2 linked regions of the Mus musculus genome follow. The protein of the gene in region 1 interacts with the protein of each later gene in a biochemical or structural test. Links are inferred from orthologs where the notes say so. Each region holds a gene or a part of one and is shown on either strand. Other genes may lie near its edges. The genes, in order: Nufip2 and Fmr1.

Region 1 (16,485 bases):
CTTTTTTTTTGTTTTTCATTTCTGGCCTTTAACTTCTCTGGAGATGAACTTAGCATTGACCTCTCAATCCTGACTCGATCTCCTGAGTGCTAAGATTACAGACATATACCACCAAGCCTGATTCATTCTCTTTTAAAATACTGTTTATTGGGCCCGTGAGATGTCTCAGAAAATCAGGGTACTTGTTGCCAAACCTGAGTTCAATTCCTGTAGCCACCAGGGTAAATGGGGAGAAGCAACTTCCACTACTTGTTCTTGGACCTCTGTGCACCTGTTCTGGTGCCCATGCCCCTCCTGTTCACACACACACTAACATGTTAGTATCCTGTTCACACACACACACACACACACACACTAACATGTTAGCATCCTGTTCACACACACACACACTAACATGTTAGCATCCTGTTCACACACACACTAACATGTTAGCATCCTGTTCACACACACACTAACATGTTAGCATCCTGTTCACACACACACACACACTAACATGTTAGCATCCTGTTCACACACACACACACTAACATGTTAGCATCCTGTTCACACACACACTAACATGTTAGCATCCTGTTCACACACACACTAACATGTTAGCATCCTGTTCACACACACACTAACATGTTAGCATCCTGTTCACACACACACTAACATGTCAGCATCAAACACAAAAGAAAAACAGCTGGGCAGTGGTGGCGCACGCCTTTAATCCCAGCACTTGGGAGGCAGAGGCAGGTGGATTTCTGAGTTCGAGGCCAGCCTGGTCTACAGAGTGAGTTCCAGGACAGCCAGGGCTATACAGAGAAACCCTGTCTTGAAAAGCCATAAAAAAAAAAAAAAAAAAAAAAGTTAGATGCATCCATCTGTCTTTGCTTCTGGAGAGCTGGGATTGAGAGTGTGAGCCTGGAGTGTGAGTCTGGGTAAGAGCACTGACTGCTCTTCCAAAGGTCATGAGTTCAAATCCCAGCAGCCACATGGTGGCTCACAACCTGTCTGAAGACAGCTACAGTGTACTTATGTATAATAATAAATAAATCTTTGGGCCAGAGTGAGCAGGGACTGAGTGAGCTGAGTTGACCGGAGTGAGCAGAGGTCCTAAAAGTTCAATTCCCAGTAACCACATGAAGGCTCACAACCATCTGTACAGCTACAGTGTACTCATATACGTAAAATAAATAAGTAAATCTTTAAAAGTATGTGTCCTCACACCTGGCAGAAGCATTCTTCTGCCTTTGGCAAAAACTTACATGCATGTTGGGTATAAACTCTACACATAAGTAATAAATACTTTAAAAAAAATATTGGAAGCTGGGCGTGGTGGTGCACGCCTTTAATCCCAGCACTTGGGAGGCAGAGGCAGGCAGATTTCTGAGTTCGAGGCCTGAGTTGGAGGCCAGCCTGGTCTATAAAGTGAGTTCCAGGACAGCCAGGGCTATACAGAGAAAACCTGTCTCGAAAAACAAAACAAAACAAAACAAAAAAAATATTGGGGGTTGGAGAGATGGCTTAGAGGTCCTGAGTTCAATTGACAGCAACCACACAGTGGCTCACAACCATCTGTAATGGGATCTGATGCCCTCTTCTGGCACATCTGAAGACAGATACAGTGTACTCATATAAATAAAATAAAGAAAAATTTAAAAAATGGCAACTTAACTTTCTTTTTTTGAAAATTTTTTAAGATTTATTTATTTATTTTATGTATATGAATATACTATACTTGTCGTCACTGACTTCAGACACATCAGAAGAGGGCATGAGATCCCATTACAGATGGTTATGAGCCATCTCTCCAGCCCCCCCCCCCTTTTTAACATTTTTTTTAGACAGGTTTCCTTGGCATAGCCATGGCTACTCACTTTGTAGACCAGGCTGGCCTTAAACTCAGAGGTCTGACTGCCTCCTCCTCCTCCCAAGTGATGGGATCAAAGGTGTGCTCCACCACTGCTCAGCAAAATGTTCTTGAATTTCAATTACAGCTTTTGCCTGCCCTTCTGAAACTCAGGAAAACACTAACCTGGTTGAGCTTGCTAACTGCCTTATTTAGAATCAACTTAAATCAAATATCTGGAAATTCTGTCAAATTCTGCCACTGTTAAGACAAACTTCCTGAGATAAACAGTAAAAGGGAGGGAAGCTCTCTTAGGTCATTCATTGGTCTTTCAGTCTATGACAAGGGAAGACTGGAAGCACTTGCATGGACCAAAGCTGCTCACTCCATGCAAACTAGGAAGCAAAGTGAAGGAGAGGAAGAGCCCAGAGGTCTTCCTTTCCCTTTTCAAAGGCCACCTCCCAATGACCTAAATCCAGGCTAGTTTTTATGTCAGTGTAACATAAACTAAAGCCATCTCTGAGGAGGAAGTCTCAATTGAGAAAATTCCTCCATAAGATCTGGCTGTAGACAGCTAGCCTGTAGGGTAGTTTTTAAATTAGTGATTGATGGGGGAAGGCCAATCCCATTGTGCATGGGGCCACCTGGGATGGATGAGGTGGCCCTAGATAAATTTAAGCAGTTAAAAAAAAAACAAAAATGGGGGCTGGTGAGATGGCTCAGTGGGTAAGAGCACCTGACTGCTCTTCTGAAGGTCTGAAGTTCAAATTCCAGCAACCACATGGTGGCTCACAACCATCTGTAATGAGATCTGATGCCCTCTTCTGGTGTGTCTGAAGACAGCTACAGTGTGCTTACATATAATAAATAAATAAATAAATAAATAAATAAATAAATCTTAAAAAAAAATAAGCTGGGCATGGTGGCACACGCCTTTAATCCCAGCACTTGGGAGGCAGAGGCAGGCGGATTTCTGAGTTCGAGGCCAGCCTGGTCTACACAGTGAGTTCCAGGACAGCCAGGGCTATACGCTATACAGAGAAACCCTGTCTCAAAAAACAAAAAACAACAAAACAAAACAAAAAAACAACAAAAATAAAAGGCTTGGTTGTGGAGGCCCACACCTTCCTCCTTGAAGTCAGGAGGAAGGGCAGATGGGTCTCTAAGTTCAAGGCCAGCTTGATCTACAGAGCAAGTTCCAGAACAGCCAAGGTGACTCAGAAAAAGCCTGTTTCAAAACAAAAACAAACAAACAAACAAACAGAATGAATGCATGAATAAAACTGAAGCAGTCTTCAGTGAGGTTGTGGCACACAGCTTTAATTTCAGCAGAGGGTAGCAGATCTCTGAGTTCAAGGCCAGTTTGGTCTACAGAGTGAGTTCCAAGACAGCCAAGGATACACAGAGAAACCCTGTCTCAAAAAAATCCATCAACCAACCAACTAACCAACCAATCACACAACAGAGCAGTTTGAGCAAGCCAAGATGAGGAGCAAGCTTGCAAGCAGCACCTTCCAGGGCCTCTGCAACAGCTCCAGCCTCCTGGTTCCTGCCTCTGCTTCTCTCAGTGGAACGTGATTCAGGATATGTAAACCCTTTCCTTCTTAAGCTGCTTTTGTTCACAGTATATCATCACAACAATAGTAACTCTAACTAAGACAACCACACTTCCTTTTACTCGGTTCCACTTCCTAAAGAGTCAAAGGCCAATCAATGGTACCACATGCTGACAACCAGCTTTAAACACACAAAAGCCTGGGAGACAAAGTTAGTTCCAAACTGAGCACAGATATTCAAAACCAGTTTGGATAAAATAGGAAGAAGACCCTTCCTTGAGGCAGGGGTTGAGGTGGTAGTGGTAGTGGCTGTGGTGGAATACAGACCACAACATATAAAATACATCATTTTGTAGCATCAATATTTAAAACAGTATCATTTACTGACATTAGAAGTATTTGTTAGTGGGGGCTGGGAAGATGGCTCAGCCGTTAAGAGTACTGGCTGCTCTTCTAGAGGCCCAGTGCCCACATGTCCTTAACTCCTGTTCCCAGGGAATCTGACACCCTCACACAGACATACATGTAGTCAAAAAAACCAATTTACATAAAATAGAAGTAAATTATTTTTAAAAAGTATTTGTTAGCAACTTTATTTAAACCTACCTCATTAAAACCCATGAATTAGGTTTTCGGATGAAAAATTTTAGAGGGGCTTAGTAATCGGCCCAAACAAGGGAAAAGTGGAACAGAAAAGAATTCCATCTCAGTTCTGATATAAAATTTATCTATGTCTATATCAGGGATGCAGAGTTGCAGGAACTAGCCAGACATAGTAGCACAGGCCTTTAATCCCAGCACTCAGGAGGCAGAGGCCAGCCTGGTCTACAAAGTGAGTTCCAGGACATCCAGGACTATACAGAGAAACCCTGTCTCAAAAAAAACAAACAAACAAACAAAATTGCAATGGTACCCAACATAAAAGCATAAAGGCACATGTAAAATAAGGTGTTTGAGTAGTGATTTTCATTTGATAATTGTAGTCTTGCAACCCTGCTTAATCTCCCAAACTGTACAAAGAGAAACAGCAAAATTCCAAAAAAGCACATAATTGCTGGTAAAGAGAAAATGTTCACTAATTAGCCAAGTGTGATGAGCCCTGCCTGGAATACCTGCACTTAGAGGGTGGAGACAAGGAATAATGCATTCAAGGACAACCTTGGCTACACAGTGGGCTTCAGGCTACTGGGACTGGTCTCCAATAAAAAAATCTAAACATGCTGACTGTGGTGACCTTTAATCCCAGCAGTCAGGAGGCAGAGGCAGGTAAAGTTCTGTGAGTTTCAGGCCATCTGTGGTTACAATAATGAGACCCTATTTCACAATAACAACACCCCCTGGCACACCAAAAAAAAAAAAAAAAAAAAAAAAAAAAAAGCAACAAATAGAAGCTGTTCAATAAGTATTTTTGGTTTTTTAATTTAATTTTTTAAAAAAGATTTATTTATTATTACATCTAAGTACACTGTAGCTGTCTTCAGACACACCAGAAGAGGGCATCAGATCTCATTATGGATGGTTGTGAGCCACCATGTGGTTGCTGGGATTTGAACTCAGGACCTTTGGAAAGGCAGTCAGTGCTCTTAATCTCTGAGCCATCTCTCCAGCCCCAATAAGTATTTTCAAATGTAACAGTTAAACAGATTTTGTTTTTATTTTTCAGCTTCCCTTCGCATTACTTTTTTATATGCAGTCATGCCCTATAGATAAAAATTGTGACTTTGATTTTGTTGTTGTGCAGGTTTTCTATTGTTTCGTTTTAGATTTATTTACTTATTTTATGTATATGAGTACACTGTCACTGTCTTCAGACACATCAGAAGACAGTTTTGGATCCCATTACAGGTGGTTGTGAGCCACCATGTGGTTGCTGGGAATTGAACTCAGTACCTCTGGAAGAGCAGTCAGTGTTCCTAACCAGTGAGCCATCTTTCCAGTCCATTTTTTTTTTTTCTTTAATTTTTTAAGACAGGGTTTCTCTGTGTAGCCCTGGCTGTCCTGGAACTCAGTGTGTAGACCAGGCTGGCCTGTTTTTGTTTTTTTGCTTTCATATTTTTTCCCCATCCTTTGGGACAGGGTCTCACTCTGTAGCCTTGGCTGGCCTGTAACTCATTATGTAACCCAGGCTGTCCTCAACGTTGTACTCATCATCTTGTCTCAGCCTTCATAGTGCTGGGATGAAGACCATAAAAGGCCATGTAGGACCTGAGGTTATACTGCTAAGTCAAATCTCAAAATGTTAGTAACATTTTAATAGGGAAGGATTCAGGTTTAAGATGGCTCTCATTAAGAAAAAAAAAAAATATTCTGGGCCTGGAGAGATGGATCAGTGGTTGAGAGAATGGTTTCTTGTAAAGTGCCAGGGATTCTATTCCTGCATCCACCTAGTAGTTCACAAAAATCTATAACTCCAGTTCTAAAGTATCTGATCATTTCCTATGGTCTCTGAGGCACCAGACACACATGTGGTACCCAGACATGCACACAAAACACCCATAAGACACACATTTTTTAAAAAGATTATTTGTTTGTTTGTTTATTTTATATGAGTACACCACAGCTGTCTTGAGACACACACCAGAAGAGGGCATTGGATCCTATCACAGATGATTGTAAGCCACCATGTGGTTGCTGGGAATTGAACTCAGGACCTCTGGAAGAGCAGTCAGTCCTCTTAACTGCTGAGCCATCTCTCCAACCCCACTATTTTTATAAAAAGAAAAAATATTTATATTATATCTTCAAATATTACATACTGAAAAATATCACCCTACAGTAGTGGCGCATTCCTTTGAAGGCAGAGGCAGGCTGATTTCTGAGCTCAAGGCCAGGCTGGTCTACATAGTGAGTTCCAGGATATCTAGAGCTACACAGAGAAACCCTGTCTCAACAAACAAAAAGCCAAAAACCACTCCTCTACTCCCCAACAAAAAGGAAGGAAGGAAGGAAGGAAGGAAGGAAGGAAGGAAGGAAGGAAGGAAGAAAGAAAGAAAGAAAGAAAGAAAGAAAGAAAGAAAGAAAGAAAGAAAGAAAGGCAGAAAGAAGAGAAAGGAAGAGAGAAAAGGGAAGAAAAAAACAGATACTAGCTACCACGTGGTTGCTGGAAATTGAACTCAGGACCTCTGAAAGAGCAGTCAGTGCTCTCAGCCACTGAGCCATTTCTCCAGCCCTGATGGCTCAGTATTTAAGAGCACTGTCTGCTCTGGTAGATGATCTGAGTTTAGTTCTCAATAAGAGTAGATCACAGCTATCAATAACTCTAGTTCTAGGGTATCCTACTTGTCTGGTCTCTAAGGGCACTGCACACACACACACACACACACACACACACACACACAGAGTCAAAGAACACTTGTTTAATTTAATGAGTCTTATTAGGCAGCCCTGGCTAGCCTTACCTCAGCTACATAGACTAGGCTGGCCACAAACTCATCGACAACTGCCATCTCTACTTTTCCAGTCACACTGTAAAAGCTATAAAATACATACCTATTATCAAATAAATTCATAACAAAAAATGTTGTATATATACCTTCCCAAAGCATACTTACTCACCATGAAATATTTAGTCATAAAAAAAGGAAAGACCTTTTTATTCATGTAACGTAATATGAATACATCTTAAAGACATTATGGTAGCACACACTTGAAATACCAACATGTGGGAGGTAGAAGGATCGAAAGTTCAAGCTCATCCTTGACTGAAAGTGAGTTGGATGTTAGTCTATGCTATAAGAGACTCTGACAAAACAAAACAAAACAAAACAAAAAACCAAAACAATAAATGCTAAGCAAACAGAAATGAATAATTAAAACAGGGCTGAAGAGATGACTCAGTGGCTGAGACTTCTTGTTGCTCTTGCAGAAGACTCAAGTTTAGTTCCCAGCCCCACACAGTGATCCTAACCATTCTTTTTGTTTGTTTGTTTGTCTTTGCTTTTTGAGGCAGGGTTTCTCTGTGTAGCCCTGGCTGTCCTGGAACTCACTCTGTAGACCAGGCTGGCCTCCAACTCAGAAATCAGCCTGCCTCTGCCTCCCGAGTACTGGGATCACAACCATTCTTAATGCCACATGTAAGGGACCTGACAAAGCTCTTCTGACTTTAGCAGGCACCAGGCATACACATGGTGAACATATACACATGGGGATAAAAAAAAAAATCACACATACAAAATACACCTAATTATGTGTACCACGTGTGTGTCTGGTGCCCTTGGACTTCAGAAGGGAAGTTGGGCCCCCAGAACTAGAGCTATGGATGATCATGCTGCTGCTGTGTGAGTGCTCAGCATTGAACTCTGGTCCTTTGCAAGAGCAGAAAACGCTGCTTTTAACAGCTGACCTATTCCTCCAGCCTTAAGGGCTTTATCATTGAAAAGGTATGGGGTTTCAAGAGATATAGGTTCTAGTGCCTGCAATGACAGTATTTGTGAGGGGGACTGAAACAATTTGAAGCTAGCCTGGGCTACATAGTGAATAACAGGCCAGTCAGAGATACAGAGGAAGATCAAAAACAAACAAACAAACAAACAAACAAAGACAAAACAACAAAACAAATACAAAGTAAGATGGTAAACTTTACATTTAAATTTTCCCTTGGGGGGAGGGCAGTGATGGTGGGGCATGCCTTTAATCCCAGCACTTGGAAGGCAGAGGCCAGCCTGGTCTACAGGAGTGAGTTCCAGGACAGCCAGGGCTGTACCAAAAAAAAAAAAAATCCCTTATAATACATAGACAAATGTATATCTAATTTAATGAATTTTAAAGCAATTATTCATGTAATAGCAATAGCACATTGGCTGGGGTATGCTGGTGTGTGTAGGACTTTAATCCCAGCATTCATGAGGCAGAAACAGGGGGAATCTCTTAGTTGGCCAGACACTTCTACTTAGGTAGTTCCAAGCCAATCAGGTTTACATAGTCTGTTTCAAAAACAAACCAGTCCAAAACAAACAAAACTCCTAGCCAAGTCCCCCAAATATATATTTCGAGGGTACCCCGTGTCTGTGCTTATCACAACCTTCTTCCTATCATAACAGGTTAAATTAACAGCATAAATTGCAAATACACCTTTACATTTCAATGTTTTCCTTAAATTTAATACAAAAATGTTTTAAAAACCCAAACCTTAAGAACTTTTAAAGGGTTCCTTTCTCCTTTATTTCACTTTTGAAAGTCTTAGTCTAAAATCTATTTTGGTTCCATAGTTGACCTCACCTGCAGTGTTTGATTAAAAAAACAACAAAAACACCCAAAAAACTTCAGTGTAGATTTTTTTCATTCCTCCCTCTCTCTTGCTTTCAACTACAAAGAAACAATGATTTAAGCCCTTTGTCCCCTTTTAGAAAATTACACAGATACCCTATTGTGGAACCCTATAATCCCTCCGTGGAAAGGAAGAGATTAGCATATGAATACAAAGCAAAATGAATCCAGAATACGAAAACGATCTATCGAGTTGTGAAGCTCTTGTATTCTTAAAAATGTATTTATTTCCTCTTTTTTGAATTGCCCCCTTCGTGGTTTAAGGGTTAAGGAAATTGAGCTTTCCTCTCTGGCTACCCGGAAAAGAATTAAACACACACACACACACACACACACACACACACTCACAACCCAACACATTCTAGGAGGTGCAAAACCAACAGATGGCTCCTAGCGCCAGTAGAATCGTCAGTGGAATCTGCTACACTCGACATCAGCTTGCTCGGTGTGAGGAGTGTAGAAAGTGCTGTTCGCTAACTGCGTGGTGAAGGAGAGAAAGCGATAGAAGAGAGAGCCATAATGCTGACGTTGAAGGCCCGGCCCTGTGAGGTTGCATAGGGTAAGTGGCGTTGGCCAGGCGGCGGTGGCGAAGGGGAAGGGAAGAGGATTTGAGCTAGGGGCGGGGCTTGACGCGCAGCGTGGCTCCTCATTGCTGGAGCACGGCTGCCAATCTCGCAGATCCTCTCGCTTAACCAGTGCGCTGGCGAGACGCGCTCAGATATACCGAGCGAGCGCGGAGAAGCAGTCTCAGATCCTGACGGTGCAGCAGCCCGCAGCCTCAGCCAGGGAGTCCCAGCCGCTTTCAATGGAGGAGAAGCCCGGCCAGCCACAGCCTCAGCACCATCACAGCCACCACCATCCGCACCATCATCCCCAGCAGCAGCAGCAGCAGCAGTCGCACCACCACCACCATTATTATTTCTACAACCACAGCCACAACCACCACCACCACCACCATCACCAGCAGCCTCACCAATACCTGCAGCATGGAGCCGAGGGCAGCCCCAAGGCCCAGCCCAAGCCGCTGAAACATGAGCAGAAACACACCCTCCAGCAGCACCAGGAAACGCCGAAGAAGAAAACAGGTCTGAGAGGGAGGGCGGTGGGGGAAGGGGGACTGGATTGGAGGGGGGGGAAGCGATGGGGGTGGGGCTAGATGGGAAAAGCGCGGACCCGGTCCGGGTGTGCGTCCCGCCGGGCCGGGGATGCCCCCTTCCATTCTTCCCGGGCGCGGGCCGGGCCGCGAGGTGGGGATTGCAGCGCCCTCTCCTTCCCTTTAGCATGGGAGAGGCCCAGCCAGGCCGGCGTGACCTTCCTCGGTCCCCGCCCCGGCCGGCCGGAGGCAGAGCTGTGCCCTCGGCCTTGGAAGTCCAGCCTTCATCTTCTTTTTCCCCTCTAGTGCGGGCCCTGGAGTTGCCTGAATGTGGGGGCCCCTAAGAAGGGGGTGAAACTCAGCCGCCCTAAAAAAATAAAATAAAAAATTCCCCCGAGGTGTATGTAATTCAGGCCTAGTGAATCCATCCTGATGCGGGTGGTGTCGCGAGAGCCGCTTGCAGGCGGCGACGAGCGGGGCTGAGGGCTAAGTTGAGGAAGCGTCCTCGCTCACCCGCCGCCCCGAGCCCACCTGTGGCCTTGGGGTTTGCCGTCTGGGTGTGTGGGGGACCCTATCGTCCCTCGGGTCATTTCCACCCCTAAACGCCCGTCTTGCGCGTCCGGACCCCGTTGTCTGTCCGCGAGGGCTTCTCCGCAGGCCGGCGCCCCTGGCCCGCTCGCCTCGGAGCCGGCGAGGCTGGAATGTTCTCTCCTCCTCGCGGGGCCGCTTCCTGTCCGCCATGTTGGAAGCTGATTCCTGTCACCGACTCCGGCCGGCGGAGGAGCGGAGGGGGAAGGGTGCCGAAGGCCACACGGCACGCCGGCCCGGCTGCCCCGGGACCCTCTGCGGCCCTTTTCCGGGTCCCCCCCGCACTGCGGGCGGCCGCCGCCCGCCGCCCCTCCCCCTCCGCGCCGCGCCGCGCCGGGGTTGTGTAACCCGGTGGCGGCCGCGCGGCCCCGGGCGGGTCCCTGGGGTGAGGGGCGGGGGCGGTTGGGGTGGGGGAGGGAAGCGGCCACGAGGGGAGCGGCCTGCACCGTGGCCCCGCGCGCCCGACGGCCGCGTTTCCCGCTCCCGGGTGCGGCGGGAGGCGCGGGCGGGGAGCGGGCCTTGAAGAGGAGCTTGAAGGGGGAAGGAGGCCCGGGCGGCGGCCGTGGCCGTAGCGTTCCGCTGGCCTGCGAGGGGCGAGGGGGATTCGTTTTGGGGAGAGGCGGTGCCTGAGGCCGGGTGGGGTACCCAGCGGGAACCAAGCTCCCGGGTCACGAGTTTCTCTGCCACAGGAATCTCATCTCCTGCCAGGTTCGCTCACGACTCCGCCTCGGAGGCTTTTTCACTTAGGCCTTTTTTCTTTATAGCAGCGCATTTCCTACCCAAAAAAAAAAAAAAAAAATGGGGGGGGGTTGGGGAACAACCTCTCAAACTTTGTTCCATTCGTTTTCCACCGAACACCTAAACTTCTGAGCTGGGTAGTGACTTTGTGGGAGGGATTAATCCGATGCTCTAATGGGTGGGACAACACGGGCAGTTTTGGCTTTCCTGTTTCTTTAACTATGAACTGGAAGTGACTTGTCCATGTGGTTGTCACCAGCCCTTTACCTTGGACAAGACCTTTTTGGTGGTTAAGAGGCGTTTTGGTGCATTTTAAAACCGACTTCCATCCCCTAACTGAGTATTATTTAACATTAAATGTGGAGCCTTGAGCTACTTAAAATAAGCATCAAAGTTTATATATTCACACGTTTTGTTTTGTTTTGTTTTGTTTTTAACTGAAAAGGGAATGAAGAAAGAAGTGTTAAACTTAGTCTTTCAAGTAATACAAGTAAGTTACTGGTGAAAAACTTACTGTAGACAATATAACTTTGAAGGCAGAGCTGAGTGGATATCAGATTTTCTTTTGTAGGGTAGTAGGGACTGATGATAGAGCAGAAGTGTTTAATTGTAAGGATTTACAGCAGCCTAGAAACTTAGGAATTATGTAACTGTATTAGTTTTGCTTTTCATGAGGTGAGAAAGTATCAAGGTTGCCCAGTGGTATTGTTCACAGATTCAGAATTTGTCTTTTATGAGGTTTATGTATTCCCCACAGGGCTCCTCACTGCATAGAAAGGCAGACCCTGAACCATTCATTGAAGGTGGCCCTCCTCACAATGTGTCTTAACCTGGGATGAAGAATGAGGAGGGAACTGGGTTTAGGAAATTTAGAGGTTATTAACAGTTGGGCTCAGCGGCTTTCCCGTATGTGGTTTGGTCGTTGGGTACTGTGCTAAAAAATCTAGAAAATGCTAGGGAAATACTTAACAAGTTTTTATGAACCATTACTTCCAAAGCTATGAGAAACTGGTTTTCTGGATCCAGAAGAGGGCACAGGAGACAAAACATGTTGAGTAATTGCAGTGTCAAATCTAAAAGCTAGATTTATTTGGGACTCAAGTTTTGCTGAGTCCATTTGAAGTGGAGTTCTCATGGCACCCTAAATAATAAAGACACAGGGATTCTTTAATTGCTTTCTGTAATAACTACCATCTTCACATTTTTCTTAAATATCTAAGCTTTAAAAGGTACTTATCATACTTAGTGCATGTCAAGGCCATAGGGAGACAAATATGTAGTTAAGTGAATTTTTGTTTGTTTGTTTGTTTGTTTTCTTAATTTTCAGAGACAGGGCTTCTGTATAGCCCTGGCTGTCCTGGAACTCACTCTGTAGACCAGGCTGGCCTCGAACTCAGAAATCCACCTGCTTCTGCCTCACCTAAGTGCTGGGATTAAAGGCATGTGCCACCACACCCGGCTTGCCCACCTTTTAATATATATATATGTATGTATATATATATATATATATATATATATATATACACATATATATATATATAATTATGATTAATGAGCCAGAAGATACAGGTATTGCTTAACTTATAGTAGATGGTAAAGTAGTTCTTTCCTTGGTTGCCTTTGGTCCAGGCAAATCTATTGATTTGGGTCTCCCTGCCCCTAATTTTTGTTTTTGTTTGAGACAAAATTTCAGGGATACATATCTAGACTTGGCTTAACATTTTGCATTTTTTAAAAGAAAATGTTATAGAAAACAAAACCACATACTATTTTTGTCAGTTTTTAGAAAAATGGTAATGTAATGCTGGGAATATGGAATTAATTTTTTCCTAACTACTAAGGGTTGAGAATTGAACTTGATACATGGCAGTATGTTTGTTTCTGATGCAGGGCAGTGGCTGCACACATCTTTAATTCCAGTATTGGGAGGCAGAGGCAGGCAAAACTCAGTGAGTTCCAGGGTGGCTAGGGGTACACAGAAATCCTATGTCAAACAAACAAAAAATATTGTCTATAGTTGGTTTTTGTGCAACTGTGTTCTTTTCTGGAAGTTCATACAGAAGAAAAGTATTTGTTGTTTGATTATTGTTAGAATTGAGGGTTTCCCAAAGGTCTTTTGAGGTCATAAAACAATTGATAAAACTAATTGCTATTTTATTAGTGAGTAGAAAGCTGTGATTTAACCAGTAAATCACTTTTTAAAAAAGATTTATTTATTTATTCTATGTAAGAACACTGTAGTTGTCTTCTGACAACTCCAAAAGAGGGAGTCAGATCTCATTACAGATGGTTGTGAGCCACCATGTGTTTTCTGGGATTTGAACTCAGGACTTTTGGAAGAGCAGTCAGTGCTCTTAACCGCTGAGCCATCTCTCCAGCCCCCCAGTAAATCACTTCTAATAAGAGATAATTAATTGTAAGCTGATCAGTGGTGGCACACGCCTTTAATCCCAGCACTTGGGAGGCAGAAGCAGGAGGATCTCTGAGCTCAGTGATTTTGCATTCCAGCACAGTCAGGGCTACACAGAAAAACATGATTTTCTTAAAAACAAAACAAAACAAATGTTAGTTGTAAAAAGAAGTCTATGTTCAAGTACTTGACTGCTTTAGGATACTAAATTCATTTCATTGTAGTTTTGTGAGCATGAAAGTGTTGGAAGCAGGTAGGAAATTATGTGTCCTAGACAGATTCCTAGTTCTGTTACTCTGTGACCTGGATGTTAACATTTTCTCTCCTGGTGCTTTAACAACCAAGTAGAAGCTAAAAGTAAGAGAATGAGTCTTTTTTTTTTTTTTTTTTTTCCCCAAGACAGGGTTTCTCTGTGTAGCCCTGGCTGTCCTGGAACTCACTCTGTAGCCCAGGCTGGCTTTGAACTCAGAAATCCACCTGCTTCTGACTCCCAAGTGCTGGGATTAAAGGCGTGCATAAAGAGGCCTGGCTGAGAATGAGTCTTAAGGGTTACTACATATTTTTGTTTCATGTTTTATGGTATGCTGGGTTTTTTGTTTGTTTGTTTGTTTTTAAGGTTTCTGTATTATATGTAAGTACACTGTAGCTATCTTTAGTCATCCCAGAAGAGGAAAAGTCCACAGGTCTTATGGCTTTGTCTGAAATTCATTGGCAACTAGTCACTTTTAGCCCTCAGTATACTCTTTGGGGGTACAGGGAGGTTCAGTACTAGGGATTGAGTTCAGTGGTCATACAAGGGAGACAAAGGCCACAGCCTTATTTTTATTTTCCTTTTACAGGTTATTGTATCTGAAGTAGCACTGATTCTAAATAGTGTGTGAGACAGGGTTCCACCCTGTAGCTCAGGAAGGCTTCAATCATGCAATAATCATCTTGCTTCAGTTTTTCTAGCAGACTCATTGATATAATTCATAAGGTTTATTCTGTTTAGATAATTTAGAGGAGATTATGGCATGCTGCTTGAAAGGTCCTGATCTTTCTAGTTAATTCTGGCTACTGGCCCAGAAGATGGACCTGATATGAGTTGTGTCCTAGGTCTGCCTCTGCCTAGACATTGAACCCTGTATCATAATCTGTAAAAGTTTCTTTACATAAAGTTTCTTTACATAAAGATAAGATACAACAAACCCTACAATACAGCTTAGTATTGGGTTCAGTAAAGTTGTTTGGTCTTAGTACTACTGTGATTTAAATGTATGTGTTTTGTTTGTTTTTGTTTTCCTTCTATAGGCTATGGTGAAATAAACGGTAATGCTGGAGAAAGAGAAATATCTTTAAAGAGCCTCAGTTCTGATGAAGCTACCAACCCTATTTCCAGGGTCCTTAATGGCAACCAGCAAGTTGTAGAAACAAGCCTGAAGCAGACTGTAAAGACCAGCACCTTTGGAAAAGCAGGAATCAAAACCAAGAATTTTATTCAGAAAAACAGTATGGACAAAAAGAATGGGAAGTCTTATGAAAACAAATCTGGAGAGACCCAGGCTGTAGATAAGACCGATACCATAGCAATTCCAAATGGTGTTATAACAAGTAGTTCAGGCTATATTACTAATGGTTATATGAGCAAAGGAGCAGATAATGATGGTAGTGGATCTGAGAGTGGATATACCACTCCTAAAAAAAGGAAAGCTAGGCGCAATAGTGCCAAGGGTTGTGAAAACCTTAATTTAGTGCAGGACAAAATAATGCAAGAGACTAGTGTCCCAGCATTAAAACAGGGACTTGAAACTTTAAAGCCTGACTATAGTGAACAAAAGGGAATGCGAGTAGATGGTTCAAAGCCTATTTGGAAATATGAAACTGGACCTGGAGGAACAAGTCGTGGAAAACCTGCTATGGGTGACGTGCTTCGTAAAAGCTCTGATATTAAACCTGGTTTGAGTAGCAAAAAATTTGATGATCGGCCTAAAGGAAAGCATGCCTCAGCTGCTGCCTCCAAAGAGGACTCATGGACCTTGTTTAAGCCACCCCCAGTTTTTCCAGTGGACAATAGCAGTGCAAAAATAGTTCCTAAAATAAGTTATGCAAGCAAAGTTAAGGAAAACCTCAACAAAACTGTACAGAACTCCTCCGTGTCACCATCTTCATCTTCATCATCATCATCTACTGGGGAAACTCAGACCCAGTCTTCAAGTCGGTTATCCCAGGTCCCGATGTCAGCTCTGAAATCTGTTACTTCTGCCAGTTTTTCTAATGGGCCTGTTTTAGCAGGAACTGATGGAAGTGTGTACCCATCTGGGGGTCAGCCACTGCTAACGACTGCTGCTAATACTTTAACACCCATCTCTACTGGGACTGATTCTGTTCTTCAGGACATGAGTCTGGCTTCAGCAGCCGTTGAACAAATTAAATCTAGCCTTTTTATCTACCCTTCAAATATGCAAACAGTGCTGTTAAGTGCACAAGTAGATCTGCCCTCTCAGACAGATCAGCAAAACCTGGGGGATATCTTCCAGAATCAATGGGGTTTATCATTTATAAATGAGCCCAGTGCTGGCCCAGAGACTGTTATTGGAAAGTCATCAGATCATAAAGTGATGGAAGTGACATTTCAAGGAGAATATCCTGCCACTTTGGTTTCACAGGGTGCTGAAATAATTCCCTCAGGAACTGAGCATCCTGTGTTTCCCAAGGCTTATGAGCTGGAAAAACGGACTAGTCCTCAAGTTCTGGGTCACATTCTAAAACCTGGGACTACTGAGAGTGGAGCCTTATCCTTGGACCCCAGTCATATAGGTGACCTGCAAAAAGCAGACACCAGTAGTCAAGGTGCTTTAGTGTTTCTCTCAAAGGACTACGAAATAGAAAATCAAAATCCCCTGGCCTCTCCTACGAACACTTTGTTAGGCTCCGCCAAAGAACAGAGATACCAGAGAGGCCTAGAAAGGAATGATAGCTGGGGTTCTTTTGACCTGAGGGCTGCTATTGTATATCACACTAAAGG
Region 2 (15,859 bases), on another chromosome or scaffold:
TAGTTTGTACCTGAAGTATATCCAGGACCGCGTCTGCCGTGCCCCCTATTTCTGTAAGGTCTACTACCTCGACCCATTCCTTGACCATCATCAGTCACATAGCCTTTTTCCTTATCTGTACGATTTGGTGGTGGTCTAGAACTAGCTCCAATTTGTCGCAACTGCTCATCAATTTGTAATCTCTCCAAACGCAACTGGTCTACTTCCTATTTAAAATATACAAGATAACAGTAAAAATAATTTGACATTTTACTTAGTATTACCTTTCTCCTTTTCATCAGATAAAAAAGTATACTGGAAATATTTCGACTTCAGTTCTAAATTTATAGTAAACACTGTTAACCCAGAATTATTAGGAAATTGAATGGTCTCCTTAAAAAGAAAGATTACTATTGATACACTTACTGATGTCAAGACTTAGAAATATAACAAAAACACTCAGTTTTAAAGTTATATTGAATAAATTTGAGTGATTTGGCACTGCTATTCAATTAGTCTATGGATAAGGCAGAGATACATTAGTTTGGGGACTTTTTGAAATAAGATTGACTAAAACAATACTAAAAAGTATAAAAATACAGATAAATGACAGACATTTAAGATTTAATCAACTAACCTTTAAAAATCACACATAAATGAGCTCAATGAAATTATTTTGTCAGTTAATATTCTAATTTACTAAGTATTGTACTTGGGGTATATTTTTTAAAGAGCATGTAGTATTTTTAGATATAATTACGGATCACTTATTTTCAATGAACTAAACATGCTAATATTCCTTTATATGAAGGGGAGGAAATCCCTAGGTCTCACATCAAAACACCTAGTTCTCACATCATGCCTTGAAAAACTTTTAAAATGCTAAAACTCTGCTTAAACAAGTATTACAAACAATATACATTGAGTTGAACAAAATATATCAACTCCAGAATCCACTGATAGACCCTTATACATAGCATGTACAAAAACATGGGATCTGTCGAATCCAGATGAAACTTTCACGTTAATCCTTGCCTTTCTAGCATATCCATGAGCATCTCACTTATTAGCTACAGGGCATAAGATCTGTAACTACAGCAAATATTCAGTGTGTCAATCAAGAAGAGGTCATTGAAACAAAGTTGTCAAATTTTGGTTCTGACATGGGGTGGGGGGTGAAAAACGGTCAGACTGAGAATCCACAGAGAACTTGCTCTCTAAACCAGAATCTGTGATAAACTGGGTAGGAAAAAGGAAAGACTAGTGGCTTCCTGCAAAGGTATATTTCTAGCTAATGGAATGTGTTATCTAGAAATTGCATAAGAGAATGGTATTCCAGTTATTGCACTTAGGTATTGTACTTAGTTTTGGTGAGATGCTAGACCCAACCAAAAGATGATTTGGTGATGATAAGAATGGCAACAGAACAGCTGCCAGTAACAGACAAAATATTCAATAGAGAAAAATAAAATATCTAAGAAAAAGCATTAATTGAAAGAACAAGGGACATGATATAATGCAGCTCTGTCTATCTAGGTCACAATAATTATTTCTAGTGAAGATTATAAAGGAAAACATACAACAGATTGCACATAAAACACTGTCCAACAAAAAATAAATAAGCAAATCAAAGTGGCATCCTACCCATGCAAACCTTGCTGGATGAAACCTTCCCACTTTTATTTATTAACTGACCACCATTAAGAATGAACAAAATGACCAGGTACTGCACCGTTTTTTTTCCTTTCACTCTTACTTACTAGAAGACTGATTCACATTTTATTCTTTAAGTCAGCAAACACATTCTTAAGTTAGTATCATAAATAAAATAGAACTTAGATTATTTTGTAGACTTTAAAAAAAGACCTATAGAATAATTCTGGCATATATTTTAACAAATAAGACATTATAACACTAAAAACAATTAAGATTTCATTTCATTAAATTTTATATTTGGGCCAAAGGGAAATTGAAAAAGTACACATAGCTACTTCACAGATGTATTGCCAATCCCATGCTATTTTTACTAATATAATAGCCTCTGGGTTCCTACTTCCCAGCTTGCAAGCTAAGGAAGCATAACAGTAAAATCAGTAAGATGAGCATATACAAGAAAGCACAAGTAGTTTATATTTTGATTAACACAATATAGAGAAAAGTATGAAGAGTAAATATTTAAAGAGGACTTCATGAAATGCTAGAATTTCCTTAATAAATAACATAGGAGGGACAACAAAGGCAAGTACACACAAAATTTGGATCAGAAAACATCCATAAAAGCTAGAAGGTTCAAATATATATATATATGCATATATATACACACATATATATGTATATATAACATCATTACCTAAATTGAATCTAAGGGTTTAGCAGAATAACTATATATAAATAAATAAATATATATACATACACACACACATATATATACATATATATACATGTACATATATATGTATATATGAATGTATTGAGAACTGGGATATTAGCCGTAAGATTTACAATGAAAAATTAAGTTTTTAGAAGAAATAAACTGAAACAATGTATTTTATCTATTATTTTTACAAGGTCATATACTGTTATGCACAGCTTAGAAGGATCCTAGTTTTGGAAGGATTTACTATACAGTTTTTAATAATTCAGCACAAGAAGATTAGAAGTTAAAAGTCATCCTGTCCTCACCTTTAAATAGTTCAGGTGATAATCCAAAAGAACAGTGGCATTAGCGATGCTGTCTTTTGTTCCCACAAAAACAAATGGTACCATACCCTGAAAAAGAAATTGTAACAGTGAACCTAAAGAACTAGTGATGGTTCATCTGAAAACAAAAACAAAAACACCTAATGACTAAATCCCTAGTACAAGGTCTGGCGAACACACAAACATCTATTTAAAATATAAATCAATATGTAAAACCAAGGGCAGATCAATATAGTGATTTCTTAGACATCACATTGTTTTAAAGACTACTGTTTAATGTTGACAAAATAACAAACATTTAACTAAGAATTATACAATCTTTACTGTGGTAAGCAAGATGAATAGTTATGCTTTAATTCACTCACTGTAAGTTCTACCTAAATCAAATTCAATTTAAAATCAGATACCAATGATACAAATTTAAAAACCTCAATTTTGCCAACCAAATCAACAAAATCCAAATCATGAACAAAAATGAGAATTTAAATTAAAATACACTGAGTAGTTTGTAGAAGAACAAAAACCAAGGCAAAATTATAAGCATAATATTTAATAAGTCCATAAAATTTCAAAAATATAGTATAATCTTACAAAGTTCAATCATAAGAAATACTTTGATCTTCTATGTATAGCATTTTAATATAGGGATTGTTTTAAAGATATAATCTAAATATTTATATTTCTCATCAGCATAAGAGAAGAAAAAAAACCCCAAACCATTCAATATAATAACCAGTAGGAAAGTCTAGCTTAAAGAGGGGATAAATAAGACACATTCTAAGCTGAGAATAGTTCAATCATTTTGCTACTGAAGAAATACATGATTATTGGTACTCACACACTAATACTGTAATACTAATAAGTAATAAGTATTACAGTTACAAGTGTTTGGCAAAAATGCAGGAGGCCAAGAATCTGTCCCTCGAGCAAAGTGTCACTCTTTCCTAAAGAACGTTTCTTAGAACATGTAGCTATTGTTGGGATGCTTTCCCTGTTTATATTCAGTATACAGTAGGTTCAAGAAAGGAAGGGAAGGACACAGGATTTTCTATATCCTTGTAAAGAATGCTACTGTTGATGAACAATAAAACTGAACCATCAGAAAGTATTGCTTGTAAGCTGATTATCATATAGTAGGCAAGGCACAGCTTCCTAGTAGCAGTGACTATCTGAACTATCAGGGGATGAAAAGAACTTGTAAAGATTTTCTTTTTTGTACTACAATATAAAAAGTGCCCTCCTTCAATATTATTCCTTTTCTCAATAGCATAATCACAAAGGCATTAATTGTACTTTTTCCAAGTGCCAAATATCAAGTCACGAAATAATACATGCTTTCCAAGTAATCACCAAAATAAGCTTTTAATTTTGTGCTGTAGATTTAATTAGGTAGAATTTGAAGAACATTATTTAAACCAATTTTCTCTTATAACATGGTACAAACTGTTAGAGTACCCAAGGACAACTCAAATGTCTAATCAGAAGATCTGAATAAATTGAAAATATAGAATACCAATATTAGGACAAAGTGATTCTCTTTTCTAAGATGAGAAAGGGATGTCCAACAGAAAGGAGTGTCCAATTCACTTGCAGTTTTAGTTCTTGGTATAAAATGGCATTTTTGCTTTTAGTCTTTTCTGAGTTATACCATCCTTATTATAAGCAATTCTCATATACCAGGCAAAGGACCCTGACATCAAGGAGCTTACAATGTGGTTGAAGAGACCAACAAGAAAACATCTAAAAACATGCTCTGGGTGAGCACACAGGAAGATGGAACAGGTAGGAAACCTGTGGTAAGTACACAAGGAAAGCTTCACATACAACAGGGTCAAAGTGATAAGGCAAATACAGGAAAAAGAACAGTCTGGGTAGAATAAACCCACACATAAAGCAGCAGCAAAAAGTATGTTCAATTTTAGAGAATTCCAAGAACTTCAGAAGGAATCAAGCTTCCTATAAGACACAGTGGGAAGACTGGTAGAAAATGACACTGGACATGTAAGGGAAGAACTTCTAAGTGGAATGAAGATGTTTGAGATTTAGCCTAGGGCTGTGGATCCAAATACCCACAAATACTCCTCCACCAGCCCCCAACCATGAGGCTCATTTGTAGTCTTTCTTAACAAGGGGAATAAACATTAAAATATCAACTTAAAATGTATTTTTCAAGGAATAGTTTCCTACCTGCCAAGCCTTGGGTTCAGGTTTCTGGGGTCCCCCTGCTACAATTGATGAAACCACTAACACCTAAAGCAGTATAAGGAATGCAAGTGATGTGATTAACTATAATGAACGATACACAGAAGCCTGAACGCAGGACTTTCACTGCAGGACTTCTAAATGCATTTCTAAATAGGTCAGTTCAAATAGTGAAAATCAGTTTCTAAAATATGGCTTTAAGAAGTAACTAACACATCTAATAGAAGGTACACTTTGAGTTACAACACCTGCAAAATTTAAGGAGTTATAGTATGAAAAAAAAAAAAGTCCACCCTCAACAGAAAAAAAGTGACCCCATTAGGTTTATAGCTTAAGATTTGTCACTGTGAATAAATTGAAAAAATATGTATTACTTTGTTTTGTAATCTCATATGGTACCAAACCTATGTGAAAATATAGAGTAAGAGTAGCCTACAAATCTAACGAGAAAAAACAGCCCAAATACCAAATGTGGAATCTGCGTCAAAGAAATTACTTTTAGTGTGGTTAGAGGTGACAAATTCTTACCCTCTGGACTTTTGTACTGTTAGGTTGAGAAAAATGGGTGTTTTCCTTTGTATCTAAATGTTTCTTTTCTTCAGAGGAGTTAGGTCCAACCCTTGAATTATTGGAAGGTAGGGAACTTGGTGGCATAATTTCCTTGATAAAAAAACATAAAACACAAAAAATTCCAATTTTATGAGAACTTGGTTCTATTACCATGTCAGTGATATTTTTTGTTAAGCATATCCACTTAATTATTTATAAAGAAATCTGATAATTCAACATATTAGGAACAATGTTTGAAGTTCATCTTTTCCCATTAACAATGATGGTTAAGACTATAGATTACTATAAAGTGTTTTGACATATAAAATTACAGGGCATAAATTTTTTTAAAAGGTTTGTTTGTTTATTTATTAATTATGTATAAGTACACTATTTATTTATTAATTATGTATAAGTACACTATAGCTGTCTTCAGACACTCCAGAAGAGGGCATCAGATTCTGTTACGGATGGTTGTGAGCCACCATGTGGTTGCTGGGATTTTGAATTCAGGACCTTTAGAAGAGCAGTCGGCACTCTTAACCACTGAACCATCTCACCAGCTCCCATAGAGCATAAAAATTATGCAATTAAAAACCAAATCAGGGATTAGAGAGAGATGGCTTTTTGTAGAGGTTAAGAGCATGTACTGTTCTTACAGTGGAACCAAGTTTGGTTCTTAGCAGCTCACAACTGAGCTCTTCTCCCAACCCCTCCAAACACTCACACACACAAACTTTATTGAATTAAACCTTAAAAAAAACACTAAATTGATTTAACATCAATTAAAATAATCTTTCACAAAAGACAGCTAATTAATGTGAAAATTATAAGCTTGTGCGTGGACAGCATTTTGAGAGTACAACTGCATCAAGGGTTATACTGTCCCTTTCCACTTTCCATACAAATACTTACAAGGTTACACCAATAAGCATATGTCCAGGTAGATAGGACTGAGAGTTATCAAAGTCATGTTGGGGGAAGTGATCATGTGCAGAAAAAGCACACACAGAATGAACTTACTTTACCACATTAACACTCAATCAAAAGCATTTATAAAGGCTGTCTATGCACGCTTTTTGTCATTCATTAATGGCTGAACCAGTGATATACACCTTATAATAGCAAACTCATGACTACCCATTATAAGATCACAAAATGAAGACAAATACAGGATAAATTTACTTATCTAAAGTCCAGCATTAGAAAACATAGTCACTGGGTGGTGGTGCACACTTTTAGTCCCAGAACTTGTAAAGCAGAGGCAGGCAGAACTCTGAGTTCAAGGTCAGCCTGGTCTAAGAGTGAGTTTCAGGATAGCCAAGGCTACACTGAGGAATTCTGTCTTCAAAAAACAAAAACCAAGCCAAACCAAAACAGATAGTCTAGTATCTATAGTATTAAGCATGTCCAATAGTCAGAACAATTATCAAAGTCCTGGATTTGATTCTGAGTACCACAAAAAGAAAAAAAATATTATATGCATGTAATACAGGAGCCTCTGTATTAATACATTAAAAAAATAAAACAAGACAAACAAAACTCTTTCTCTTAGACAAAACCAGAAAAATAAGCACTATTACATACCTCTTCTTGTGGGACACTTTTCTCATTTTCAGCCTCAATCCTCACCCTCACAACTCCTGACTTGTCCACGATCTCTTGAATCAGCTTTCCATTTTTTCCTATTACTTTGCCTAAAATAAATAATTCATGTTTGACTCGAGGACATCACTCAAATCGTACAAGCACACTCCACTATAAACTATCTTACACATTCAAATACATATACATACTGGATTATAAGATTCAAAACAGAAGCTTTTTAAAAAAATAGTTTAATTATAAATTATTCTCGTTGATTAGGTCATTTTTAAACTCATTTGGTCAGATACTACAGCTGATTAATACTTGTGAACTGATTGGGTAATTCTGAAAATTTAAAGGTAACTCAAAGAGAACCCCTTATCTCACATAAGACCGTATACTTTAAACTAACTGGTACTGTGGTATTTAGCACTCTGTAAAGCTCTACAAAAGGAATTAAGGAAAAGAAGGATAATAAATGTATTTGCTTACTTGACAATTTCAATTCTCATCTAGCTTTGATTCACATTTCCTCATATATACATAGGAACTATTTTTAGAATTATGTATGACACATTTGAAAATATGCTCTTAAGTTTCAGGAGCTTAGAAAGCTATCTAAATATCTAAAAGGAACAAAAATTCTTCAAGCCAATGTTAATAACAGAATATTAGTTCTATGCATTGGTCACAATGTAGAGTAGCATACATATTCATAGGTAAAGCACACTTTCAGATAACTCCAAAACTACCATGAAAAGGCTTATACGTATTCTTTAGTAACATCTGTTGAAATTCAGAAAAATCTAGTAGTAGTTCTAAATAGCAATTGTTTGCCCCACTGTGCAAAATTCAATTATATATAAAACTAGGACATGGCTGCTTTCATAGCCACTATCATACATGAGTGTAAAGCAAGAATTTACAAATTAAGCACTACTAATTCTAGAAACCTACACATGAGGCAAACCAGATTCTAGGGGGACTTAAGCACTTAGATAAGCCATGGGTGAAATGCTTCTATATGCTCATTTTGCCTCCTCAGCGCAGGCAAATTGATGAAAAGAGAGAAGTTGCTTCCTAGCTACTTTAAATAACAAACTAGCAAAAGGTCTTGCAGAAGGACTCATAGTTCTTATAATCAGAGCCACAGTTTTGACATTATTGCTGTGTGTGGCTTTCATACTCTTCCACCTTGAGCTCTTTGGTCAGTGGTAGAAAACAAAACTCATGCCACTAAACCAGGATTTCTAATCTAAAAATCTCATTATGTCTGTTCTATTCTTCTTCAAATGAAATGAAGAACGTACAAAAATCCCTACCTGGAGTATTCTCAGAGTTTGTTTTTTTTTTTTTTTCTGTAAAATCCTTACATAACCATGAAAGTTGATTTTAATAAAGATGCAAATTAGCATAAAGAAAAGTAGGACTTTAGCATGTTTCTATTAAGAAATAACTAAGTACTTCGTCTAAACAAACTCACTGTCAAAGTTTAGATAGAACACACAAACTTTTAGGCAAGATAAATTGGTGTGCATACTGAAGAAGGCTTGTGAAAAATAGGTAATCAATCAGTAGATGAGACTCAAGTAATAGTGATTAAGACGTCACCCTGAAACCTGCCCAGCAAACCGAACTAACAAAAACTGATTTCTGAAGAAGCCCAGTATTCCTAGTGTTGCAGCATTCCTCATCAAACCAGAATTCTCTTGTTTTACTAAGTATAAACGTAAAGAAAACTCAATTCTGCAATAGGTTTTTTTTTGGTGCAAACCAACTTTAAACATCCTCTACACCTAATGCAAGACTATAGGTATAATCTCTTTCTTCTTTGGTAATCTAATTGAATCTAGTTTACTTGTATATTGCAGTTACTTCCAAATTCCAACAGAATTTACTATAAATCTGCTGTAATGAAATGAAGAAGTTATGAATAAACAAAAGAGAACATGGAGTTTCCTTCTGTACCCAGAACTGTGCTAAGTACTACACATAACAACACCTCATTAAGCATCTAGACCTTGAATACCACGTTGATATCATGTTAAGTGAAGGAAAAGCATTCTCTCAAGAGCTAAGTCAGTCACCCAAAGTCACAATGGTATCAAATATGTGTAAATATTTTCACCTACTATAGCACTATCAAAATTTAATGGATACCATGGTTCTATCATAATCATTAGTTCATCCTGTGCTATGCATGTATCTTCTATACAACTGGTATGTGTGTTGGTAACACTACATTCACATTCTTGTGTTGCAGCATACATGTAAACTAATTTCATTAGCATTTGTTCTTTACCTTCAAGTTTTTTTTTAATTAATGGTAAAAAATACCATGACTCTTGGACACTATTTTGGAGTCAGGATCTTGCTATCCCTACCCCATACTATCCTTAAATTTGTGATCTTTGTGCCTGTCTCCTGAATGCTGGGCTATTGCTAGTAATTTTAAATGACACTGTAAGATGATTACTATTCTATTTTGACAAAATGTAGCCTATGAATGTTTTAAGCTATATACATAAACTACACAGGAAGTTTGTTCACTTTATACTTCTACAAGAGGATTAAGAAGCAATATGCCCCAAATTTATTTATAAATTCAAACCACATTTTTTTTTTTTTTTAGACAGGGTTTCTCTGTGTAGCCCTGGTTTTCTTAGAACTCATTCTGTAGACCAGGCTAGCCTTGAACTCAAAAATTCGCCTTCCTCTGCCTCCCAAGTGCTGGGATTAAAGGTGTGCGCCACCATGCCCAGCTCAAAACACATTTTAAAAAATAAACCCATACCTGGTTTTAGTTTGTTCTACTAAAGACAACTGAATAATTTGGGAATACTAGTGAAAAGTTCCTATGCTAACAGCCATCACAGTGATGATTAGGAAACAGTATTTATCAATTTATAAGGAGCTACTACTGACTCCATAAAATCCAAAGACAGTTGGTGTGAATTTATCTTTCAAACTATGTCTATGCTAGACATATCCAGATTTTGAACCCAGAGATAACTGACATGAATGCTATCATTTTCTCAAATATCACCAAACTATAAAAGCTTAAATTTTTAGTCATTTTAGAAAAAAATCTAATGCTATGATTAAAAAAATACCTTGAGGAGGCTAGGTAAAAATTATCCTTTCAGACATATAAGTCTGAACTATTTCTTGTATATCTTCTGAAAATATAATCTTTGAGTATTATTTTCTATACACTGTAAGAACAGGCTACATCTCAAAGATTGACTTAATCAGATTACACTTTCAGTGATGAAACGAGGTTTAACTAGTATAGAAGTTGTGTACTAGGATTTTATTTTTTGTGGTATATATAAAGTTATTTTTTACTTACCTACTAAGTTTCGTGGAACCTGTATGACATCTTCAGCAAATTCCAGAAAGCTTCTAGCCTTTTTCACTGCATCTTGATCCTAATAAAGAAGGTTGAGTGGGTGTAATATCAAAGCAAAAGATTTGGCATTTGAAATACTATTTGTTTGTTTCTATGAGGGGGAAGTTGGATTATATGGTGAAATATTTACCTCTCCATAAATATGAAATGTGCAGGTATCCTCATCTAAATCAATAGCAGTGACGCCAGGCACTTTTCTAGCTTGCTGAATATTAGCACCATGAGTACCAATAGCTAAACCCATCAGATCTTCTCGTACGATAAACTGTTCATGAAATCTTGAGGCAAGCTGCCTTGAACTCTGAAGAGAAATGCACAACTGATTAACATGTTTTATCAATTATTAAGACAATTTCATTTAGGTCAGCCATGTAAATTATCTTGACCCTATATATCAGGGTCCTATAAATTATCATAGTAGAAAAACTAATTTTAGAATCACACAAGTTCTTTTGAGGCTAATGAAGGTCTATGCCATTTAAAACATTTTTTTTGTTAACAGGAAAAAGTTTATTGACAGTTTTTCAAGGTTATGTTTGCAAACCTATTTGCAAGGCTGCCTTTGTTATTCAATGATATCCACAATGTAATAATTAAGAAGCAGACAAAATATTCCCAATTAAGAACAGCTCACTAGGTCTGACAGACTCAATTCAATTTAAGCAACAATTAAAAATGGTATCTTTAATAAAAAAATATTCACTGCACTTATTATGGATATATAAGTACTTTTTCTAGAAATGGTGCCATTTTCATAATATATAACCAGGTATGGTGGATCTAAACATCCTTCAGCTGAAATGTGACATTAAGACAACACCCTCTCTCCTCAAACCCAGGGAAAAAAATCCCTAAAACTCTGTGGTTTAACAGTAAAGTGAACACTCGTAGAATACAGAAATATCAATTTTATATTACTTTTATATTCAGAGTCTGTTAGACTTTGTGATCTGAATCCACAAAAGCTTGATGAACTCTTTAAAATATTCAGCAATGACAAAACTATGTTCCAATGATACCCCATATTATGTGGATAATCACTGTCTTTAAAAAGCATATCAAAACTGAATGTTTAGTTCTAGCATGCCATTAATGAAAACCAAACAGATTAGTGGCTCATGTTGAAAATGGGTATTTCTTAAAAGGGTTTATGAACCTCTTTAATATTAGTAGTGAAGAAAATAGGCATGCACATAGTTTATCATTATTCAACACACCAGATAATTTGAATGAATAAATATATCTAATGTAAGCAATTTTAAAAGAACAATAGTTGTTTTCAAAGGTAATGGTAGTAAAGTATATAAAATCTTCGAAGATTTTCCAAGAAGTCACGTTTTTGGATCGTGATTACCCTGGTTCATTTTTCCCATTGATAATTTATGGATACATGTAAACCAAAGGTATGGTAAAGAACATTCAAGAAGAATTAGATGCTTAAGAAGAGATATATGAGTACACGTTCATAATACTCACAATGAAATTAAGAAGGCTGCTGTGGCCTAAAAGTTATGAGAAAATCGCTAAACCACAAAAGTGTGAACATGGGGGACATCAATAAAGAATGAGAGAAAAAAAACTAATCAAACAGACCTCAACAGCCATTTGGCAAACAAAAGTAAATTTTTCCTTTTCTGTTAAGAGTTCATCATTCATACACAAAGTTGGTAATTGGCAATTTTCATAGCCTTGACTACCTTTTTTCTTAAACTACAATTTGAAACTCCCCTTTTCTTTTGCTATATCAACTGATGATTCTCCCTAACGAAATGAATAATGATGAGGGAGACTCTTTAAATTGACAGTAATCTACTTGAGTTGGTACATTAAAACAAACTCCATTTAGTTTCTATGGTAATGAATGGAAGTACTAGATAGTTATCAATGAAAATAAATGCATGGTGATGGCAATTATTGGAGAATTAATAAAAGTAGATAAAATGCACCTTAAGAGACGAAATAGTAAGTTAGGGAAATAGCCTCTGGCAGGAATCTGAAGACAGGAGTTTTAAAGAGTGACAACCAATTAGAATGAAGAAGTTCTATACCCTTTTAAACAGAGATAAACATACATAATGAAAGGAATAAGATTAGATATTTAAATATTCTCTAGTACTTTAATGATAACATGTTACATAGAAGAAGCATTGTCTCACTTTATAGCAGCTTTGACAAACTTTTGGTAAAAATGAAATGTCTAAAATTTCCTTAAAATATATGACTGTTGTGTAATTTCAGGCATGAAAATTTTAGTATGCTTATATTTTGTACAATTTAAATTTCCAAACTAGAGGAAATAGGAAATAATAAAACAAGCTGTCCATACTTGAATTTGAGAACCATACAGTAGTTATTTCTGGACAGCCTTACCAACAGTGCTAGGGAAAGGAACATACCTCCAGTTGTTTACTGGCTTCTTCATTTCTCAGTATAAGAGACAACTTGGTGCGCAGACTTCGAAAGTGCATGTCAATCAACATGTGGGCTCGCTTTGAGGTGACTTCATTGATGGACTGAGTGATTTAAAGTTAACAATATTGTTACCAAAGCAAATGCCCCAGAGGAAATAAACCAAACTAGACAATTAAAAAACACTCACCAAAATTACCAGCTGATAATTTTCTGGATCATAAGTTACAGAGAAGGCACCAACTGCCTTTTTAAAATCCTTATGTGCTGATTCTTTGGCACACCTAGAAATAAAACATATTCATCATTAACATGAATGATCACCAATCACTAGCACAAATATATGCAGATAAAATTATACTAAAAACCAAGGATTTATACTAAATTTCTTTTATGTAAATGCTAGTTCTATTTACAAGTTATGTACTTTTACTGTACACCTGTGAAATAAAGCAAACATTTGACACAATAAAGGGTAAAAAAGCAGCTAATTAAAACATATTTTATTTTTTTGGAAAATTTTATTCTTGAGCACTGCATCTATATGACCCCCATCTCCTGTGCCCTTTTAGCTATTATTTTAAGCATTTATTTACCCATGTGTTTCTGTGTATGCACATGCATGGTGTTATCCTAGGTTAGTCTTAAACTCAATTACACAACTTAGGCTGGCCTCTACCTCCCAAGTACTGAGACAACAGACATGTACCACATCTGGCTAAACAGTTATGCTCTTAAGGAATTGCTATTAGGGTTAGATTGTTGAAGAAGCCACATTTATAGGAACCACTTTTTTTTCTGTATAATTCTTGATTTTCTTTACATAAGTCAATATTTTCTGTGAGCAAACTGAAAAATTATGGAGATAAGCTATGGGTATCTTAATCCTCTCCTTTCTCTCTTGAAGAAGAACAGTTACATCTGTTGAAATAAAGATGAAAACATAAAAATTACTTGCATACATCATCTCTAGACTTAAAAATAGAATTTCTATGTATTCTGAACTATAATATGACTTTTATCTAGGGTAGTAGTCCACATCAGACTTATTGTACCTTTAAAAATTAATCTCTTCTCTGAATTGTTTAACATCATTCTAGATAAAAGATTAGAAACAGGGCTTTTCCAAGCCTCTTTAGCTTTAACTTAGTATGTATTTTATCTGAAAATATTTTCTCTAAAAGGGAAAGCATCAGGAGAAAATTTTGTAGTGTACAATGTGACTTTCTATTTATTTATTTTTACCTTTTAAAAAACCTTTTATCATTTGTATTAGATATTTTCTTTATTTACATTTCAAATGCCATCCCGAAAGTTCCCTATATCCTCCCTCTACCCTGCTTCCCTACCTACCCACTCCCACTTCTTGGCCCTGGCGTTCCCCTGTACTGGGGCATATAAAGTTTGCAAGACCCAGGGGCCTCTTTTCCCAATGATGGCCAACTAGGCCATCTTCTGCTACATATGCAGCTAGAGACACTACCCTGCCTGGGGATCCATCCCATAATCAGCCTCCAAACGCTGACACCATTGCATACGCCAGCAAGATTTTGCTGAAAGAACCGTGCTATAGGTGTCTCATGTGAGGCTATGCCACTGCCTGGCAAATACAGAAGTGGACGCTCACAGTCAGCTATTGGATGGAACACAGGGCCTCCAATGGAGGAGCTAGAGTAAGTACCCAAGGAGCTGAGGGGGTCTGCAACCCTATAGGTGGAACAACAATATGAACAATGTGACTTTTGATAGAATTCTATCATTTTCAAAATCTTCAAAGCTTATGAAAAAAAAAATCTTTGTTTAGAGAACTCAGTGTAGATTTACACACTTTAGCCATATATCAAGTAAGTTTAAACAAATACAGGACTTGCTTGATTATATAACTAGGAAAAAAAATTTTTTTCCTTCACTACTGTAACCAAACTACTTTTGACAAAGATACAAAACATATCATTTTAAAATTTACATTCTGAATTAGTAACCTGGATATAACATCTTAATTTATATATGCAGTAACCTATATATAATATTTTAATTTATATACACATATGTATGTGTATATAAAATGTATATTTGTAAAACTACACACCCTTGCATGTTCCCAGCATTTTTTCATATAGCATTTTTTCTTTTGGTTTTTTTTTTTCAAGACAGGGTTTCTCTGTATAGCCCTGGCTGTCCTGGAACTCACTCTGTAGACCAGGCTGGCCTCGAACTCAGAAATCCACCTGCCCCTGCCTCCCAAGTGCTGGGATTAAAGGCATGCACCACCACTGCCCTTCTGATATAGCATTTTTTTAATGTATCAACTTACATTTGTCGTAAATCTTCTGGCACCTCCAGCTTGATCTTATGGAAAGTATCTTTTGTAGCAGGTTTGTTGGGATTAACAGATCGTAGACGCTCAATTGTGACAATTTCATTATACGTAGCATCACATGCTGCATATTCTATCACATAAAACTGAGAGAAATAAACAAGTCATTCTTAGCCATATTTTTAAAAGAAGGGAAACCTACATAACTTTGACTATTGTTTTGAGAAAGGAACTCATAATAGCCCAGACTAGCCTAGTACTTACTCTATAGCCACGGATGACTTTTAACCCTGATCTTTGTGATTCAGCCACTTAGTGCTGGGATTAAGGGAATGGATCACCATGCCCAGCTCCTATCATTTTAAAATATAAACTCTTGGGGAGGGGGAAACTTTAATCAATAGAAACATATAGCAAGCATATAGTAAACCTATATTGAAAACATTTTTATAAAATGACTTAAAGTTAGGCAGTTATTAAAAATAGACACCAAAATTAAAATGTGGGCTTAGAAAATGTAAATAGTATGAACAATATGCATTTTCCTACCTCACCCTTTATCATCCTCACTTTAGCTAACCACCAACAGCAAGGCTCTTTTTCATTTGCTCTGGAATAAACCTACATAAAAATTATAAAACAGAATATTTATGATTAACATAATTCAAAAGCAGCAGACACTAGACAGTGAGGAAATCTTAAAA

What was found.
Region 2: the proteins of Nufip2 (region 1) and Fmr1 form a complex in vitro, tested with the Homo sapiens proteins (2 studies listed by BioGRID and IntAct, with this or other methods). The link is inferred for Mus musculus from reciprocal best matches to the Homo sapiens genes NUFIP2 and FMR1.

What each region holds. Positions count from the first base shown.
Region 1 is NC_000077.6:77,676,771-77,693,255, forward strand, and holds the start of Nufip2 (nuclear fragile X mental retardation-interacting protein 2), read left to right. Parts: upstream 1-9,368; 5' UTR 9,369-9,457; coding exon 9,458-9,737; intron 9,738-9,785; exon of another isoform or gene 9,786-11,041; intron 11,042-11,516; exon of another isoform or gene 11,517-11,561; intron 11,562-14,771; coding exon 14,772-16,484; intron 16,485-16,485. UniProt on the Homo sapiens protein: Binds RNA.
Region 2 is NC_000086.7:68,694,931-68,710,789, reverse strand, and holds part of Fmr1 (synaptic functional regulator FMR1), read right to left. Parts: intron 15,777-15,859; coding exon 15,705-15,776; intron 15,302-15,704; coding exon 15,153-15,301; intron 13,123-15,152; coding exon 13,029-13,122; intron 12,943-13,028; coding exon 12,826-12,942; intron 10,731-12,825; coding exon 10,560-10,730; intron 10,449-10,559; coding exon 10,370-10,448; intron 7,128-10,369; coding exon 7,018-7,127; intron 5,542-7,017; coding exon 5,410-5,541; intron 4,930-5,409; coding exon 4,867-4,929; intron 2,749-4,866; coding exon 2,662-2,748; intron 207-2,661; coding exon 11-206; intron 1-10.